4 linked regions of the Neurospora crassa OR74A genome follow. The protein of the gene in region 1 interacts with the protein of each later gene in a pairwise test. Links are inferred from orthologs where the notes say so. Each region holds a gene or a part of one and is shown on either strand. Other genes may lie near its edges. The genes, in order: NCU01440, rho-3, NCU08499 and NCU06404.

Region 1 (4,142 bases):
GACGGTGTTGACTCTGAATTGTAACAGTAGTCACTCGTCGTCAATCCGGCCACGGAGCAGACAAAAGGCGGCGACGACGCGGAGTCGGCGGCAAACCACCAAAAGCACCGCCTTTCTCCCCCCCCCCCCCCCCCCCCCTCCCCTTTTTTTTTCCTCCCAAGTCCCAGGCCCCGATACTCGGGCTGCCGGCCGCACGGGGGGCCTGGTGGGGCCCGTAAGTAGGTAGTCTCCAACAGTTTCCACAGTCTTTGACGACCCGCCATTCGCTGGCGCTCTTTTTACCCCTGCAGATTCCAGAAAGAAGAGAAGAAGGAACTGAACGCAAATGCAATTGATTGTCATGGTGCCAGACTCAGCCCGGTCCACCCATCAATGCCATAGAGGTATTGGTACGTATTTACACTATGCCCCATTTTGAGTTTGCCCATCTCTCTCCTTTTCAGGCGGACAGGTTAATGCATTTCAACTGTCAACAAGCGGGCAGACGGGCCAGACGGGGACCCAGTTGGATGGCATATCGAACGAACAAATGAACGAACGAACGGACCAGTGCAAACAATTGGCCATGGGAGTCTGGTAAGATTGGGCCTTACTTCCGTGAGTTCCTTCAGGGAGTTGTGTAAACGAAATGCTACCCTGATGAGGGGCGCCGGTGAGCTGTCGGGGAGAAATACAGAAACTCAGGGGAAGACCAAAGACCGTACATAATGAGAACGATGAAGCCATACAAATCAAGAGGGCTATAGATCAGGAGGAGAAACATGGTCGTCCTCATAGGATATCCTGACGGTTATTCACCCATTGGCGTGAGCCTCCAGAGACACATTTGTACATCTCAAGGTAGAGTGTAGACTTGGACATCGTGACCCATCTTGTACATCATGTCGTCTTCCACTGGACACCTCTCCGGACAAGACAAAGGTAACCCTTATACGCTGCTTAGAGGTGCCAGTCACCCATTGTTCTTCTTCGCCTTGTCTGTGTACTATGTAGCTTTCCACTTATGTAGAGTCGCGGGATTCCCAAGCATACCTCTAGGTATGTAATCTTCTTCGCAGTGTTGGTTAGTGCCCCCTTTTAAGGAGAGCCCTGCTTGTCCAGGTCATTTGGGAATTACGGCTCATTGGAGGGGCTCCATGGAGTCCAGCTCCCCAAGCCCACGAAAGAGTCCGTGCTTCGGTGTTAATGCAACGAGCCCAGCGACGCACCCAATTGGGCGGTGGCCGCCAAAGACCGACCACCTCAACATCCACAACAACGGGGCCCCTGTCAACGGAAGTGAACGTCGGCCGGGCTGTTAGCCTGCCACCACGACGGCCCGCCAGTGCTCTATCATCACCGGGCACCTCAGCTACACTACAAGCGGAAGCCTACCCCTAAACTTTCAACGACATCCCGTCTCGTCGTCCCGCCTTCTCGCCTACCCCGACTTTTGACTTGGTTGTTGACCACACCGGCCCGACAGGCTACTACATCAAGGACGTTCCCTCATCCACAGGTGCTATCTCGACCATCAGCCACTTCTATACAGAGAGGCTGCCACCGTTAAGAGAACCCGACTCGACCGCTCGACGAATCCGTTCTCCCACCGCAAGGCAGTGTGTTGGGTCCCCGCTCCGCCCGTTCTGCCCGCCCCGTTTATACGGCATTCCACAACCTTCCTGTCCTACACACAGTGACAGGACCTGACCTATTCCCGGTCAGCCAAACACCTACCAGCTAGCTCCCTTGGGCACGCAAAGCAAACAACAAAAGCAACAACAACATCTTTCAGCTGTTTCGTCCAAGAACAGCCCGCGCTACACTCCCATCGGTCCGACGACACGAGCCGAACCCCCTTTCGAACTCCTAGACCTACATCGTCTTCGACCACCTTGTTTGTCGGCTTGGGCTCCGTTGCCCGCACGATAGCAACATCTTTCTATACTTCTTTAATGTGTTGCTCCACGTCCAATCCCTATTTTTGTATCTAATTTCCCCCTCTTCCATTCCCTTCGTGAATGTTGTCTTCGCCAGCACCACACTCCCGCCGGCCCTTGGATTCCAAGCTTCCGCGACCGAACTAGCATCCTGGACCGCTCTTCATTCCGGTCGTTGCGTCCGCCATAACAGACACGGTCCACCATTATCCCTATCCACCCCCGTCGCCCCTAGCCGTGCTGGCCGTTCCGCCGCTAGAACTGGCTTCTTGAAGCCATCCAAATCCCACCACAACATCTCTTCCCCCTTGCTCCTGACTCGCAGGTTCGCGCCGATTTTCTCTCCCTCGAGAATACACCGATACAAGCGCATCCAATGTCGGAGAGCTATGATGTTGGCACTCGAGCCTGGCAGCCCGATCCTACCGAGGGTTGGGTTGCCTCTGAAGTAGTCAAGAAGACAGTAGACGGCAACAAGGTCACTCTTATCTTCGAGTGCGAGAATGGCGAGGTAGGTAGCTTATGCTTTCCCAAGTCTCGGCATATTCCGACTTTTGTGCTTTGGTTTACGTGCTTTGCGGGCTGGTGCGCTTCAAGATGCTAACATGTGTTACTGCCTGCAGACTAAGACCGTGGAGGTCTCCCTCGAGGCCCTCCAGTCAGGCGGCCATGAGTCGCTACCGCCCTTGATGAACCCAACAATGCTCGAAGCCAGTGATGACTTGACGAACCTATCACATCTGAACGAGCCTGCTGGTAAATATACACACACCTTTGCGCTGACTCGCCCCGCCATCGGGCGCACTCCGAGAACGTGATGCTGATAGCATGTGCTGTGCTTAGTGCTTCAGGCTATCCGCCTTCGATATGCCCAGAAGGAAATCTACACATACTCGGGTATTGTTCTAATAGCTACAAACCCGTTCGCGCGGGTTGACTCTCTTTATGTCCCAGGCATGGTTCAAGTCTATGCCGGGAAGCAAAGAGCAACCCAAGCTCCCCATCTTTTCGCCATTGCTGAGGAAGCGTTCATGTATGGGCTCTTTGCCAATTTGACGATTCATGTTGACTTGTAATCGCTGACATAACAATAGGGACATGTTGCGCGATGGCAAGAACCAGACCATTGTCGTGTCTGGTGAGTCCGGTGCCGGTAAGACTGTCAGTGCCAAGTACATTATGAGATACTTCGCGACAAGAGAATCGCCCGACAGCCCCGGATCACGAGTAAAGAAGGGTGGCCACGAGTCTATGAGCCAGACCGAGGAGGCTATCTTGGCTACGAACCCGATTATGGAAGCTTTTGGTAACGCAAAGACGACAAGAAACGACAACTCCTCGCGATTCGGTAAATACATCGAAATCATGTTTGACAAGGCCACCAACATTATCGGTGCCAAGATCAGGACCTACCTTCTCGAGCGATCGAGGTTGGTTTTCCAACCGTTGAAGGAAAGAAACTACCATATTTTCTACCAGCTGGTTGCTGGTGTGACGGACAAGGAGCGCCAGGAATTGGGCTTGCTTCCCGTTGAACAGTTCGAGTACCTCAACCAGGGTAACACCCCCACGATCGATGGCGTCGATGACAAGGCCGAGTTCAATGCGACCAAGGCATCTTTGAAGACCATCGGTGTTGACGAGGGCAAGCAAACGGAGATCTTCAAGCTTCTGGCTGGTCTCCTCCACTTGGGTAATGTCAAGATTGGTGCCATGCGAAACGACAGTTCCCTCGATCCTTCCGAACCATCGCTGGTTAAGGCCTGCGAGATTCTCGGCATCGATGCTCCAGAATTTGCCAAGTGGATCGTCAAGAAGCAATTGGTCACTCGTGGTGAAAAGATCGTGTCCAACTTGACCCAGGCGCAGGCTATCGTTGTCCGAGATTCCGTTGCCAAGTACATCTACTCGAGTCTGTTCGACTGGCTCGTCGAAATCATCAATCACAGTCTTGCTTCGGAGGAGGTCCTCACCAGAGTCACTTCCTTCATTGGTGTTCTGGATATTTACGGCTTCGAGCATTTCGCCAAGAACTCCTTCGAGCAGTTCTGTATCAACTACGCCAACGAGAAGCTTCAGCAGGAGTTCAACCAGCATGTGTTCAAGTTGGAGCAGGAGGAATACCTTAGGGAGCAGATTGACTGGACCTTCATCGACTTTGCTGACAACCAGCCCTGCATTGACCTTATCGAGGGCAAACTTGGTATCCTGTCCCTTCTAGAC
Region 2 (4,288 bases), on another chromosome or scaffold:
GTTTTGCTCAACTCGAAGAAGCTAGAACGACTTCAATCTGTGTGCCCATGGCTTCTACGTAATTGCAAGAGGTGCGCGAATCTCTCAGTCCAGCCACTTGTGCCCCACGCTGCTTGGTTTGGGAACATGACCTTGAGGGCAAGGCAGATCGTCACACTTCTTGTTCGTGCGAAATTTCTGGTATAGTGCAGGCGCCAATAAAGCCATCAATGTTGTTTGACATTTTGCGTCTCTCATTCCCGGGTTGCCAAATCCGGGGTTATCGTCGAGGCTGTTGCTGTGTGTGGGGCATTGATCCAAAAGCCATGGATAAGTATTTCCCTGCGAATGCGAATGGTGGCTTGATGGGCTGAACTCTAAAAGCTACCTACCAGTCATGTACCACATCCAGTCAATGTGGCAAGACTTTTTCTATATCCAGTTCGCCAAAACAAGCAAACCGAAACCCCAGTCGTCAGGCAGTATCGCAGAGTTGGCATAACAGACTTGGCCGACTTGTCAGGTCTCATCACGTCTCCAGATTGGTGCCGTCCCGTCAGCCCTTTGTTCAATAAAACAACGACCAAGCTAGTGTCCACTCGCCCTTGCTGCACAAGGTACCTAAGGTAGGTACCTAGGTGCGCACCCTTTCATTCCATCCACGAGCCAATTGGTTTTGGAGGGCACATGAGACCAGATGTTCCGGGCTGTGTCAAGATGACGCACTCGTGCCTGGATTTCATATGCTCAAATGCTGCGCGTAGCCAGGAAATACACTACACGACATTGTTCGCCCGATCTGCAAGACTGGTGTGGGTAACAACGTTGTGCTGCAAGTGAGGGCGAGTTGGGTTGAGGAAGAGGGATTGTCGATGTTTGATCAAGCCTAAGTTGATCATCGTGTTTGTGCAACAGCATAGTCATAGTACGAAGTAGCACTGCAAACCGAAAAGGTTTCGGGTCGTGTCAGGGCGAGGTATCTAAACTCAAGCGCTGGAGTATATACGTAGTCTCTGTGCCGTGATCATTCAGTCAACTAGTCTAGCCAGTGGAAAGGCATTATCTAAAACTCTAAAAGGTAAGGAAGTCAAAATCAGAGAGATGGATGGATAAATGAATTGGATTGCAAGGGACGGTTTCGACCGAAGTTCGAGATTGATCCCTGAATATCAAATAGCCTGCCAGTGTTAAGCGAGTATTTGGCCCCACAGTCTTCTTCTCCTTCCCGAACGGCATGGCAACTTGGCTCCGTGCTAGGTGGAAGGTTGGGGTGGGCCAGCCTGGCCAGTTTGTCGCACAACGAGTGGCTGGAGCGCACCTGTTCGCTGCTGACGATTTGTGCTGGGCGCACAGCACAACCCCCGCTTACAGGCCCGGTTGTCTGCAGGCATGCACCGGGCAGTGTGGCTGCCTGTGTCCATGTCAAACCGACCCGTTCCAGTTGTTATGGGCTCAGCTTCAGCTCCCACTGCAACTGCAACTGCAGCGGCCGCTAGAATGGGCCAGCGGACGCCCCCTGCACCGTGCGGAGGAATAGGTCGACCGACGAGTCCTGCCTCGCTCCATTCCAATTTCGCTGACCTCATCTCCGACTTCAATTTCGTCCACAAGTTGCCTCCTTCACTTTATACGCTGTCGACCAAACTCCCTTCGCTTTTCCACTGCACTTCCTGATCCCTTTTTGCCCTTCTCTTTTCCCTTCTTTCCGTTCCCGTCCTGTTCTCTCCCCCCGCCCGCTGCCTCACTCCCAGCGACTCACACTCTCTTGCGGCGGCATACGCACAACGACACAGTTTCAAGTTTTCCAACTACTTTCCCTCGATTACGACCTGCCCAGCATTCCCCGTTGCTGTACCCCAGAAACCCCGTATCGGCCTTCCTCTACTTTTCTGGTTTGGCTCCTTTTCGACCGACACCACTGCAACCCCCATCGAGCCTCTGCTCCGCCGCCGCCGCCGCCGCCGCCCCCCTCTTTCCACTTCGTCATTATCAATCGGTTTGCGACTTCCAGCGAAATATAGTTAAACGTCTGCGGCTCGTTACTCCAGAGTCTCTATTGCCTTTCAGTCGCCTGCCATCCTTATTCTCATATTCGATCCCGGTAACCCTTTTCTTTGAAGAAAGCCAATTGGGGACATTCATTATCGAGCTCCAGACGCAACTAAAGGGGGTCCACCAATCCACTGCGTCGCCCTTCTTCGAGACTCGGAAACGGCAATACTGCAACAGCACAACTTCTCATTTCTTTTCTTCTTCACAAACCAGTCAAAATGCCTTGCGGACTCGGAGGGTCGAAAACAGTGCAGCGCAAGCTCGTCTTGCTGTGAGTTTAACACACCCCAATCTCGTCCCGTATCGGATTGATCGAGGCGACATCTCAATGCGTAGAGAGAGACTCTGGCTATGAGATCAATTGCTGACCGGAACTCTTGGCAACAGCGGCGATGGTGCCTGCGGAAAAACCTCACTGCTCAACGTTTTCACAAGAGGGTATGTTTGCGATTGAACCGCCATTGCCTCGCAATCTAAGAATTCACGCTCAACCTCCCGTCCAGCTATTTCCCCACTGTATACGAGCCGACAGTCTTCGAGAACTATGTGCACGGTACGTTTGCAGAGAAAGTGACCGAAGCGTCCTCCAATGCGATACTAATGTTGACTCAGACATTTTCGTCGACAATGTCCATATTGAACTGTCATTGTGGGATACCGCCGGCCAGGAAGAATTTGACAGGCTACGAAGTCTATCATACGGTAGGTTCTTCGCATTCCCCGGTAGCCGCTAACCATGTTATGTGCGTGACGTCTGACTTGCGGTGTACTAGATGACACCGACTTAATCATGCTTTGCTACTCTGTCGACAGCAAGGACTCGCTCGAAAACGTCGAAAGCAAATGGCAAGGCGAGATTGCTGAAAACTGCCCGGGCGTCAAGATTGTCTTGGTCGCGTTGAAGTGCGACCTGCGCGAGGCGACCGAGGACGAAGAGGATGGCGGAGCCAACGAGGACGGTGCTCAACGTGAGAAGAAGCCAATGATCAGCTACGACCAGGGCCTGGAAGTGGCTCGCCGGATCAAGGCCCTTCGATATCTCGAATGCTCCGCCATGCGAAACCGGGGAGTCAACGAAGCCTTCACCGAAGCAGCGCGTGTCGCTTTGTCAGTGAAGAAGGACCGGGAGGAGTCGAAGTGCGTGGTCATGTAAGACGGCTGACCGAACAACCCGGATTATGGCCCCAGCATAGGCCGTCCTCTCGAGCATTGCCTCGATGCTAGGCAACAATGTGTTTTATACGTAAGATCGACGCAGATCAGAGCACCGCTAGCAAACACGGGCAACCACATTTATCTCCCCGACCAGCTCATTCACGCTATCGCCCAAGAAGGACGCCTTTACGACGCCGATACCGGACGTTTTTGTCTACGATGCACACGATTTCGCAACCAGCAGTGGTTCCCTTACCAACTTTTTTTTGTTTTCCGCCACCGGTTTTCGCTCTTGTCTTACTGCATCTTCTGGCCTCCTCTCTTCGAGTTATCAATATCCTGTCTCGGCGTGTTGTCGGGGTGGTGACTGGTGGAAAATTGGAGTTTACAACAGCAAAGTTTTGTTTTCCTATTTTTCATTTCTGCATTGTACATAATTTGGTCGATTTTCTGGAATCTGCATATACGGACGGGCTAGTGGGGAAAGACTCTGAAGACATGTTGAGATGGACGGGGAACTCTTTCAACACACGACATGGAAGGTTGAAGTGGCATAGGGTTGCGCTGGAGGAAATTTGTTTGACAGCGGAAAATATAGCTGTGTTCAACCGCTAATTGAGCTGCTTGAGCAGTCGCTGAGAGCTTGGGTTTTCGTGGTTGTGGATTTGATGTTAAGAGGTCTATGTAACAACTGTCTTGAGCATTATTATTAGGATGGGGTGCTGATGTTCAGTGGCCATAGCAACAGTCTACGATATGTGCCAAATCCCTGTATCATGGTCTGCCAGTTTAGAACAGACGCTCGTGTGTATATGTACCCTTGGCTTGATATTTTTGTCGCGGAAGTCGAGCTTTCAATCGAGTAACTGAGCATCTCCGAACTCCCCATTGCTAAAGGCTATAATAACAAGTTCCATGAGGTAGATAATGTGTCGGGTATTTGCCAATCTTGACTCGAGCATCTCCGGTCATGGCCCGCGGACATATGGCGGATTCTTATCAGTCTTATCGTTTGACAGTTCCAAGCGGCGATTAAGCAGCGAGATTGCAGTGCGTACAGTACTTGGCAAGGAGTTCATTACCAATCGAGCTGAAGGATAAA
Region 3 (4,046 bases), on another chromosome or scaffold:
AAACAAGGTGAGGAACCACTGCGTGGCGTAGAGGTGAGGGGAGATGCCACGCCGATGGAGGTGGCAGTAGAGAGCGGGCTCGAGGTCCTCGAGTATGCGCTCAAACTGGTAGAGGCACTTGTGCAGACCGGGCATGTCCTGGATAAAGAGCTCGCGAAGGTGGTATTGGTTCATTAGTCGTACCAGCAGGCAGAAGGCCTCCTCCTCGGGCATGTTGAAGAGAAGAGGCATGACGAGGAAGTTCATGCCTTGGGCATAGCCGACGGCTTCGTCAAAGAGAGCATATGCCTTGCACACGCCAAAGAGGCCCTCCTGAAGCCCTTGGGCGGCGGCAAATTTGGAATAGCTCGTTCGAGCGCCCAGATCCCTTCTAATGACCTTTTCGAGCCTCGACAACATTTCCTTATCTTCCTTTTCCTTCTTCTTGCGCTCCGCCGCGGCAAGAGCCTGGGCCTTGGCGAGGGCTTCCGCGTCTTTCTCTGTCGGAGAAGGAGCGCCGGTTCCGTTGGGCCCAGATTTTTCTGAGTGAACTGACGAGGCAGAAGAGGGCGTATCCTTGCCGCTCGGCTTGCCGCCGTTACTCAGTGATATTGAGGCATTGCTCTGCCTGTCAGTTTTCCTCTCCTTGTCTGTGCCCCTCGCAACCAAGTCTCGGTAAACCGTTTCCAGTTCCTCATTCTTGCTTTGTGCCAGAACTTGCCAGATGACTCCACGAATGGCGCTGGGGATACCCTTCGCGATGGCCTCCTTCAACTGCTCAGGGCTTGTCCGAGCAACAGCTGCGGGACCTTCGTACACAACCGTCTGCCACAGATCCCAGTCCACAGGAGTATCGGAGCCCGCTGGGCCAGCAGTGACCCCGGATGCGGTACCGGGTGCGAGAGCCGGGTTGGGAGTTGGTGGAAGCGGCGACGGAGGGGGTTGGACTGCTTCCTTCTCCTCCGGGGTAGAGCTCTTCTCGTCATCGTCTCCCGTGGGCGCGCTGCCCTCCTCTCTTAGGCGCAATTGCTTGAAGCGATCCTTGAGAGTGTTCTTATTGCCCTCCTCGTCAACCTTGCCTAACGTCCCATCGGGGTTGCTGGAGAGAGTAGCAACAGAGCTGGCGGTATTCCGTCTTGGAGCCGTTGCGGCGGCTGGCGGTGGGGGTGGGTTGGCTTGCTCCTTTGATGAACTCCTGGACAGCCAGGAAAAGGGGCTGGTTAGTTTTCTGGTGACGGGAGGCGGTGGTGCCGGAGTAAGGGCTGCGGGCGCAGGCGCAGGAGGAGCGGCGGCGGCAGCGGCGGCAGCGGCCGCGGGTGGGCTTTTTACAGCTTCGTCGGTAGCGGAAGGTGACCACGGCATGGCGGGCAGGGCACTAGCTATACTGCTTATTGACAGCTTCTTGGTTGACGAAGGCGCCGTATCAAGGGATTTTTCTGGGTTCCCTTGTCAGTACAGTCTGGTGGGTTTTGCTTGGCTGTGCGTGCAGCTTCCAACGTACCTGTTTTGTCTCCAATTGTAGAATTATCGTTTAGGCTTACATCGTCCAGCGATGCAGCCGAGAAAGCGGACGCCTCTGAAACCTTGGAAGCATGCGAGATGCGGTGTAGCGACTTGCTTTCCTGCTCCTGTGCCGGGGTCTCGAAGACGTCTTCCTGCTCCTCTTCCTTGATCTCTGCTGTCTTGGGAACTTGGGGTGTCTCTGTGGTGTGGGAGCGGGCGTCGTGGTCGGCGTCGGCGGCGGCAGAATCGTCCATTGATGGGGAGCGCGGGCGGTGAAACGAGGAAGAGCGTTTTGTTAGGGACCTTACGGAACCTGTGTCGATGGCATCTTCAAACGTATCCTGCATGATGGGCAATAATCATGATTGTGGTCGCTGGTCAGCACTCGCTCGTATAGTACAGTACTCTTGTTGCTTTGGGTTGCACTGCCTTGTACCTCCCTAGGGGCAGGTAACATGGTAACTTGAGGAAGGAAAGGGAGACTTACGGTGTCCTTGTCGTCTGGGTCGGACAGGTTGGTGGGAGCGAGAGAGGCTGGTCGCTGGTGGTCGGGCTGGGAGTCCTTGTCCTTTGTCTCTGTTACGGGAGAGGAAGCAGCGTCCTCTTTCTCGTGCTCGTGGGTGACCTCCTGAACCGTCTCCGTGGGCATCTCTTTGGTAGCGACCGCCTCGTGGGGGGCAGCAGCCCCTTCCTGTACTTCGGATGCCGACATTTCGGTTGTTTCTTGGGAGGTGGAAACCCAAGGAATAGGCACAGGCTGCTCCGGCTCTGGACAATATACGAGGCGGCGACACAAGGACAGGCGAGAGCGGGCGACAAGTAAGGTGGTGGTGGTGGGTGCAGTGAGTGGTGTGTGGTACTAGAGGTAGGTAGGTAGGTAGGTAGGTAGGTAGGTAGGCAAGGTAGTGGTTGTTGTTTACGCGGCGGAGCGACTGGCCATTGATAAACGGAAATACAAGCAAGCAAGTGCGTGGAAGTGCTGGCTGGCTGGCTGGCTGGCTGGCTGCTGGATGTTCAATTGGCGGAGAGGGACGGAGGGAGAGAGAGACAAGACACACACCCCTCACTCACACAGCTGCTCGACTACTCCAGTCGCTTTCCACTGGTCGACAATGGGTGATCAATGACGGGGGCAAGTGCTGCAAACAGGGCCGCTTAAAGACAAGACAAGACAAGACAGGAATCACTGGCAGTACTACCTGTTGTTGAGAGTCTGAGTGGTAGGTGCCTAGGTGGTCTGGAGGAACGGGCAGGTCGACTCGCTGCCGCTGCTGCTGCTGCTGCTGCTGCTGTTGTCGTGATACGAATTGTGTGTGTGTGTGTGTCTGTCTGTGATGTGGGAGGGGAGGAGTCTGGGTGCAGAATGATTGATGCTTGTAAGTGCAAAATGTCCATGGTCGGTCAGTGTGTCGTCCCCTGAGAGATTTCGGGGTACACAGTACGCCAAGCCTGCACTAACTGAGGCTCTAAAATGGGCCGATGTCAAGTCGCGGGTACCTAGCAGACTAATCACTCCACCACAATCCACGCACTTTGTTTACCGTACTTTTGTCATTGTTCACCGCACTTGCTCGTGTGCTCAGGGCCACCACGAACTATTACATACGGGATCAGACGGGTACCTACTATCAACATGACAGACAGGGCATACATTACCTAGGTATCTCACTCTACACTAGTATATGGTAGACAGCAGCTGTCAGTGTTGCAGCCCTTGAGGTTCCTGCGTTACACTCACCCGCCGTACAGTAATATACATACGTATCTCTATGTACAGCATAACAAGGAACTCCCACGGCATTGAGATGCAATTAAACCTCCTTCTTTTGTGCTTATTCTCTCCACACACAAAAAGTCGATATTCAGGTCAAAGCAACTGAAGCCACCCGATCAAATGTGAGGCCGCAAACACGTTCACTCCATAAACATTCGCCGGCCATGATTCGATGCACATCCTTCATCGGCTGGTTGGCGGCGTCTATAAAGTGCAAGAGATGGCGCGTCCACAGCGGGACAAAAAGTCTAGAATAGAATGGGGAACATGGGGGGGTTTCCCCAATGGTATGCGCAGCGGTTTTTCTGAAACGGATGAGGGGCATGGATCTGCCGAAATGCGCCAATCATCGGCAAAAATGCATTGGAATGTCTTGAGCTTTTCGCCGTTTTCTTCCACCCTCCTTTCCACTTACATACAATGTTGCAACACCTCCTTCACCACCTTCTCCAGAGTCCAGACACACGGCATAGGTACATGGTTCATCTGATAAACTTCAAATACCAGCCATGTCTGCTTGATCGACAGCGGAAACCCCATCGACCCAACCCAGAGCATTGGAATCCCCACGATACCCGTTTGCCTCAATAAATTCCCAAAACATCATGTCAAAGACGGCATTGCCCATTTCGCCAAAACTCGGCCACGAACAAGGTTCGGGATCCGCCTAAGCCCTCGCTCGCCTTGCCCTCTCCTTTTTGTCGAAAATAGCCAAGAACCGAGATGCCGTTGTGCCAGCCCTGTGCGGTCAGCCACCTTCTAGAAGAACCAAGCGAATCTAGAAATCGTC
Region 4 (4,065 bases), on another chromosome or scaffold:
ACAGGGCGTTAATTGGCGAATCTACATAGTATATTTCGCTACTGTCCCAAATTAATTTACTATCCCATATTTTATCCACCCCCTCTCCTATAGGGAGGGGGTGGAAGAGCCTTGGCGCCCAGAGCCAGAAGGCACCCATCACCCTCGAGTATGGGTCCTGTAGTGAGCGTGGTGGCATGCCGCAGTGCAGTGGTGGCTTCCTCGGCACTATGTAAACAGTCAGACCGAAGGGACCGACAAGTGGAAGTTGAGCAACGCACAGACCACATCTATCCCGTTCTTTGTGCTCGTTTCCCGAAAGAGTAAAAGAGCACCTCTTGTGGATTCGTGGCTCATGTCAACAATGTTATCGCTCACGTCATACGTCTTGATACTCTACACTAGCCATGGTTGACCAGGGCGTCCCCATCTTTTCAGGGAATATCTATCTATGTTTTGTTTTATGGGTGTCGTATCGTCATACTTTGGAGATACAGCTATAAGGGGGGCCGCGCACGAAATCTACAAACCAGAAAGAGAACAACAAAGGGGAAACAGTCAAGAGAGAAGAAAATGAAATATATTAGGAAGAGCCAAAGATCGCACCCAAACTCCGTGACCAGAATGTTTCGTTTCGCTCTCTGCCCCTCGTCCATGCTGCCAACCCAACCTCAATCCATCTATATCGATCAAGCCGGTCGTAATACTCACATGTCTCCGTATCGTCGTTGATGTCCTCAGCTCCCTAGCCTATCCATCCTACCATCCACTGCTTCTAGAGCGCAATAATAATAGACCCAATAGCGAGAAGCCGGAAATGAGCACGCGTCGTATCTTCCGCGCCGCTTCTCCCTCCTGCTCCCGAGTGACAAGAAAGGGGTTTTCAATGAGCCCTCCAGAATAACTAAAGCCGTCTTTTCCTCTTGGACCTTAGCTTCATTACAACCATAGTAAAGTCTTGAGACCGAAGATACCCTCTTTCTCCCCTACACCGCCTCTTTGTTTCCATGCGGTAGACCCGGCCGTGCATATTGGTGGCCCGCAGGAAGACAGGTGCATGTTCGATAGACGTAGGCTGTAGCCAAATAGAACTGAATGAGGCCAGACTGCTGTCATCCATACTTCGGGAGGATAAATCGGATCTCGTATCGCCATCGTGATTGTCAGCGGGCTTTTTTTTTTTTTTTTTTGCGAGCTCCAGGGTCGGGTTTCGCCGCCACACAACTGCTACCCGTTTGGCTTAACAGCACTTGCCGCCGGATCCTGACCCGCTGTTGTCGCTGACGTTCACGCCCGACGAGCCGCCAGACGCCTCTTTGCCGGATGTGTCGATGATGCGCTTCTTGATGTCGTTGGCGAGGCTGAAGAAGGCCTCTTCGATGTTGATGTTCGCCTTGGCCGAAACCTCGAGGAAGGGAATGCCAAGCTCGTCGGCTAGCGCTTGGCCTTGTTCCTTGGAAACCGCCCTCTTTTCCTCCCAGTCGCACTTGTTTCCAATGAGAATCTTGTTGACTCCTTCCGTCGCGTGTTGCTCCACGTTGGCGAACCAGGTACGGATATCTGCGAAGAGAAGGTCACGTCAGCAAAGGAGCGAGGTAATACATGGCATGGTATCCGATGGGAGATTGCTGATGCCAGAATCCGGAGCAATGGAGAGGCATGGCATCTAAAAGGCACCAATCCATCGCATTTCGAGCGTGACCTCAAGGACCACCTCTTGACCGCAACTGTCATGCCATTTTATGCGGGATGGGAATGTGGGTTCACGTACTGTTGAATGACCTTTCATCCGTCACGTCGTAAACGAGAAGAATGCCCATGGCGCCTCTGTAGTATGCCGTCGTGATGGTACGGAAACGCTCTTGACCGGCGGTATCCCATATCTGTAGCTTCACCCGCTTGCCATCGAGTTCGATTGTGCGGATCTTGAAGTCGATACCGATGGTGGTGATAAATGACGGTGTGAATGAGTCTTCGCTAAAGCGCAACAGACAGCAGGACTTGCCAACGCCCGAGTCTCCGATCAAGAGCAGCTTGATCTATGTCGTGAAGCGGTATCTCCGGTCAGCGTCTGGAAACAGAATAACCTCGCCAAACCCACTACGGGGGAGGGGGGGAACACAAGGAATGTCGCGAGAGTGCGAGCGGTGAGGTGAAGGAAAGACTCACCAGAAAATCGTAATTCCTGTTACTCGACATGATGAACTGGTGTGGGGGTTAACGCCGCCGCCCGTCGTTTCGATCTCTTGGAATGTTTCTCTGGTAGTTCGGACTCCGGAATTCGGCAAAGGGGATATCAATCGAAATCCGGCGTTTCGAAATCGTCGGGCTGTTGTACACTGGTAGTTGCGGGAAAGGGAATGGGGATGGAGACTGGAGGCTCGAATGGTGGTGACGATGCGCAGTTCAGGAAACAGGCGACAGAGCAGGAATGATGTTCAGTTGTAGGTAGGTAGTGTAGGTGAGTGAGTGAGTGGTGGTGGAATGCAGTGGTGGTGGTAGTTGAAAGCGTGTCCGCAGTGCGACGTTGACGGGCCTGTCAAAACTGCAGGGCGGTTGCACGGGTTAGGTAGTAGTCCAGCGGAGGAGGAGTCGCAGAACGAACAAACAGGCGAGAGCGCGATGGGGTCTCCTACTCCTGCACTAAGGTAGACTTGGCTGGCCGGCTACTGGGCTGCGGGCAGTGCGTACCTGGGCTCTCTCTCCCTCCAACTTTACGGGGCGATGCCGTGCGGAGATCCAATGGAAAGGCGAACAATGACGAGGACGGGGAAGGCAGAAAGGGGTCTTGTAGCTTCCACTTGTCCAAGACCTCCCTGCGTGGAGAGGAAGGAACCAAGAAAACTGGAATGTCTCAGATGCCCCTGATGTCTGATACTATCTAATCAATGCTAACCTGGGTCCCAAAGCGCAGGGCAAGTGGAAGTCCAGAGCCCGGGCAACGCGATCACCACCATAGAGGTACAATGTGAGGGTTGACGCACTTGCCTGAAGTGCTACCGAGTCGCGGGCTACACTATGTATGGGATGGGGGGTTATCTGTGCCCTTTACACCTGTACCTCCACTCTAGTGGAAGAACGCTTATTGCAGCGCGTGATCGTGGTCTAGGGGACGCGACTGTTCGGTACGTAATCGGTCAAGTTTCTAGAACCTACAATCGCCGCAACAACTCCACCTGATATTCCATTCTTTGTGTCCCTTTCAACCTTGCAGTAGATAGAGATACCAATGTGTTATGAATGACAGGATGAGCTCGAAGGACAAGTTGTTGTGCATGGCGCAAAGTGTCTAGGAAACCGGAGTGAGAAAGAGACAACTCAACTGCACTCTCAACGAATGCAACCCAAGATTCAGGAACCAGGGAGGGAGCTCTGCCACTAATATCTGAGGTCGCGGAAGAAGGTGAGCCTCGAGACCAAACGAGACCATCCGTTCATTCGCGCATCCAACAGAAGACCAGCTGTCTTTATTTGTTTGTTTTACCAGGAAAGTTGATTAAGGGGTTTTCTTGGCTTCTTCAACAAAATGGAGTATCGTGAAAGGCCAGCTGAAGCTGCAGACACAGGCGACTGGGCGGTCTCACAGCAACATGGTGAGAAAGGCGGGCAGGGCGGTGAACAGTCTATACGCACGAGACGCAGTATCCGTTGATGGATCTATAACTCATATTGGCCCAATGATCTCTTCCACCAAAGCCTTTTCCTGCCCTCCCGCCACACGAAAGGCGGCCCCTGGGTGACCCTGCACCCTGGTTATGCCCCTGCGTGAAGCGTGAAAAAGTCCAGCAACATGCCCGTGGGGTGTTTTCACACTACGTGGACTAAACGTCGCCGCCTATAGGCACATAGGTAGGTAGGTATCCACCGTGTTTAAGGGGTTAGTAGACAACTCTGTTTTGGTGTTTAGGCCCGGTACTTCCTGCACCTGCTCACCTCTGCCATATCACCGGCACCATCTCCCCCGTGCATTCTCAAAACTCCAAGTCCTTATAGCTATTTCATACAAACAGAAGAATCATGGAAGATCTAGTCGCTATTTACTAAAGTACACTGATCATATCACATCACAGCCCAACTAACAATACA

What was found.
Region 2: the proteins of NCU01440 (region 1) and rho-3 interact in a two-hybrid assay, tested with the Saccharomyces cerevisiae proteins (2 studies listed by BioGRID). The link is inferred for Neurospora crassa OR74A from reciprocal best matches to the Saccharomyces cerevisiae genes MYO2 and RHO3.
Region 3: the proteins of NCU01440 (region 1) and NCU08499 interact in a two-hybrid assay, tested with the Saccharomyces cerevisiae proteins (2 studies listed by BioGRID). The link is inferred for Neurospora crassa OR74A from reciprocal best matches to the Saccharomyces cerevisiae genes MYO2 and GYP5.
Region 4: the proteins of NCU01440 (region 1) and NCU06404 interact in a two-hybrid assay, tested with the Saccharomyces cerevisiae proteins (4 studies listed by BioGRID, with this or other methods). The link is inferred for Neurospora crassa OR74A from reciprocal best matches to the Saccharomyces cerevisiae genes MYO2 and SEC4.

Annotation. Positions count from the first base shown.
Region 1 is NC_026505.1:4,738,503-4,742,644, reverse strand, and holds the start of NCU01440 (myosin-2), read left to right. Parts: upstream 1-1,339; 5' UTR 1,340-2,295; coding exon 2,296-2,430; intron 2,431-2,542; coding exon 2,543-2,675; intron 2,676-2,762; coding exon 2,763-2,952; intron 2,953-3,013; coding exon 3,014-4,142. UniProt on the Saccharomyces cerevisiae protein: Myosin heavy chain that is required for the cell cycle-regulated transport of various organelles and proteins for their segregation.
Region 2 is NC_026501.1:7,873,150-7,877,437, reverse strand, and holds rho-3 (small Rho-type GTPase), read left to right. Parts: upstream 1-1,471; 5' UTR 1,472-2,249; coding exon 2,250-2,302; intron 2,303-2,418; coding exon 2,419-2,469; intron 2,470-2,534; coding exon 2,535-2,584; intron 2,585-2,643; coding exon 2,644-2,733; intron 2,734-2,804; coding exon 2,805-3,184; 3' UTR 3,185-4,067; downstream 4,068-4,288. UniProt on the Saccharomyces cerevisiae protein: Plays an important role in cell growth. Required to keep the uninucleated state. Modulates morphogenesis during bud growth via directing organization of the actin cytoskeleton and the position of the secretory machinery for exocytosis.
Region 3 is NC_026502.1:3,459,279-3,463,324, forward strand, and holds the start of NCU08499 (GTPase-activating protein GYP5), read right to left. Parts: upstream 2,817-4,046; 5' UTR 2,195-2,816; coding exon 1,970-2,194; intron 1,824-1,969; coding exon 1,481-1,823; intron 1,416-1,480; coding exon 1-1,415. UniProt on the Saccharomyces cerevisiae protein: GTPase-activating protein which accelerates the GTP hydrolysis rate of YPT1 and SEC4. Involved in ER to Golgi trafficking and polarized exocytosis.
Region 4 is NC_026504.1:2,622,863-2,626,927, forward strand, and holds NCU06404 (GTP-binding protein), read right to left. Parts: upstream 2,847-4,065; 5' UTR 2,179-2,846; coding exon 2,149-2,178; intron 2,019-2,148; coding exon 1,751-2,018; intron 1,540-1,750; coding exon 1,220-1,539; 3' UTR 353-1,219; downstream 1-352. UniProt on the Saccharomyces cerevisiae protein: Involved in exocytosis. Maybe by regulating the binding and fusion of secretory vesicles with the cell surface. The GTP-bound form of SEC4 may interact with an effector, thereby stimulating its activity and leading to exocytotic fusion.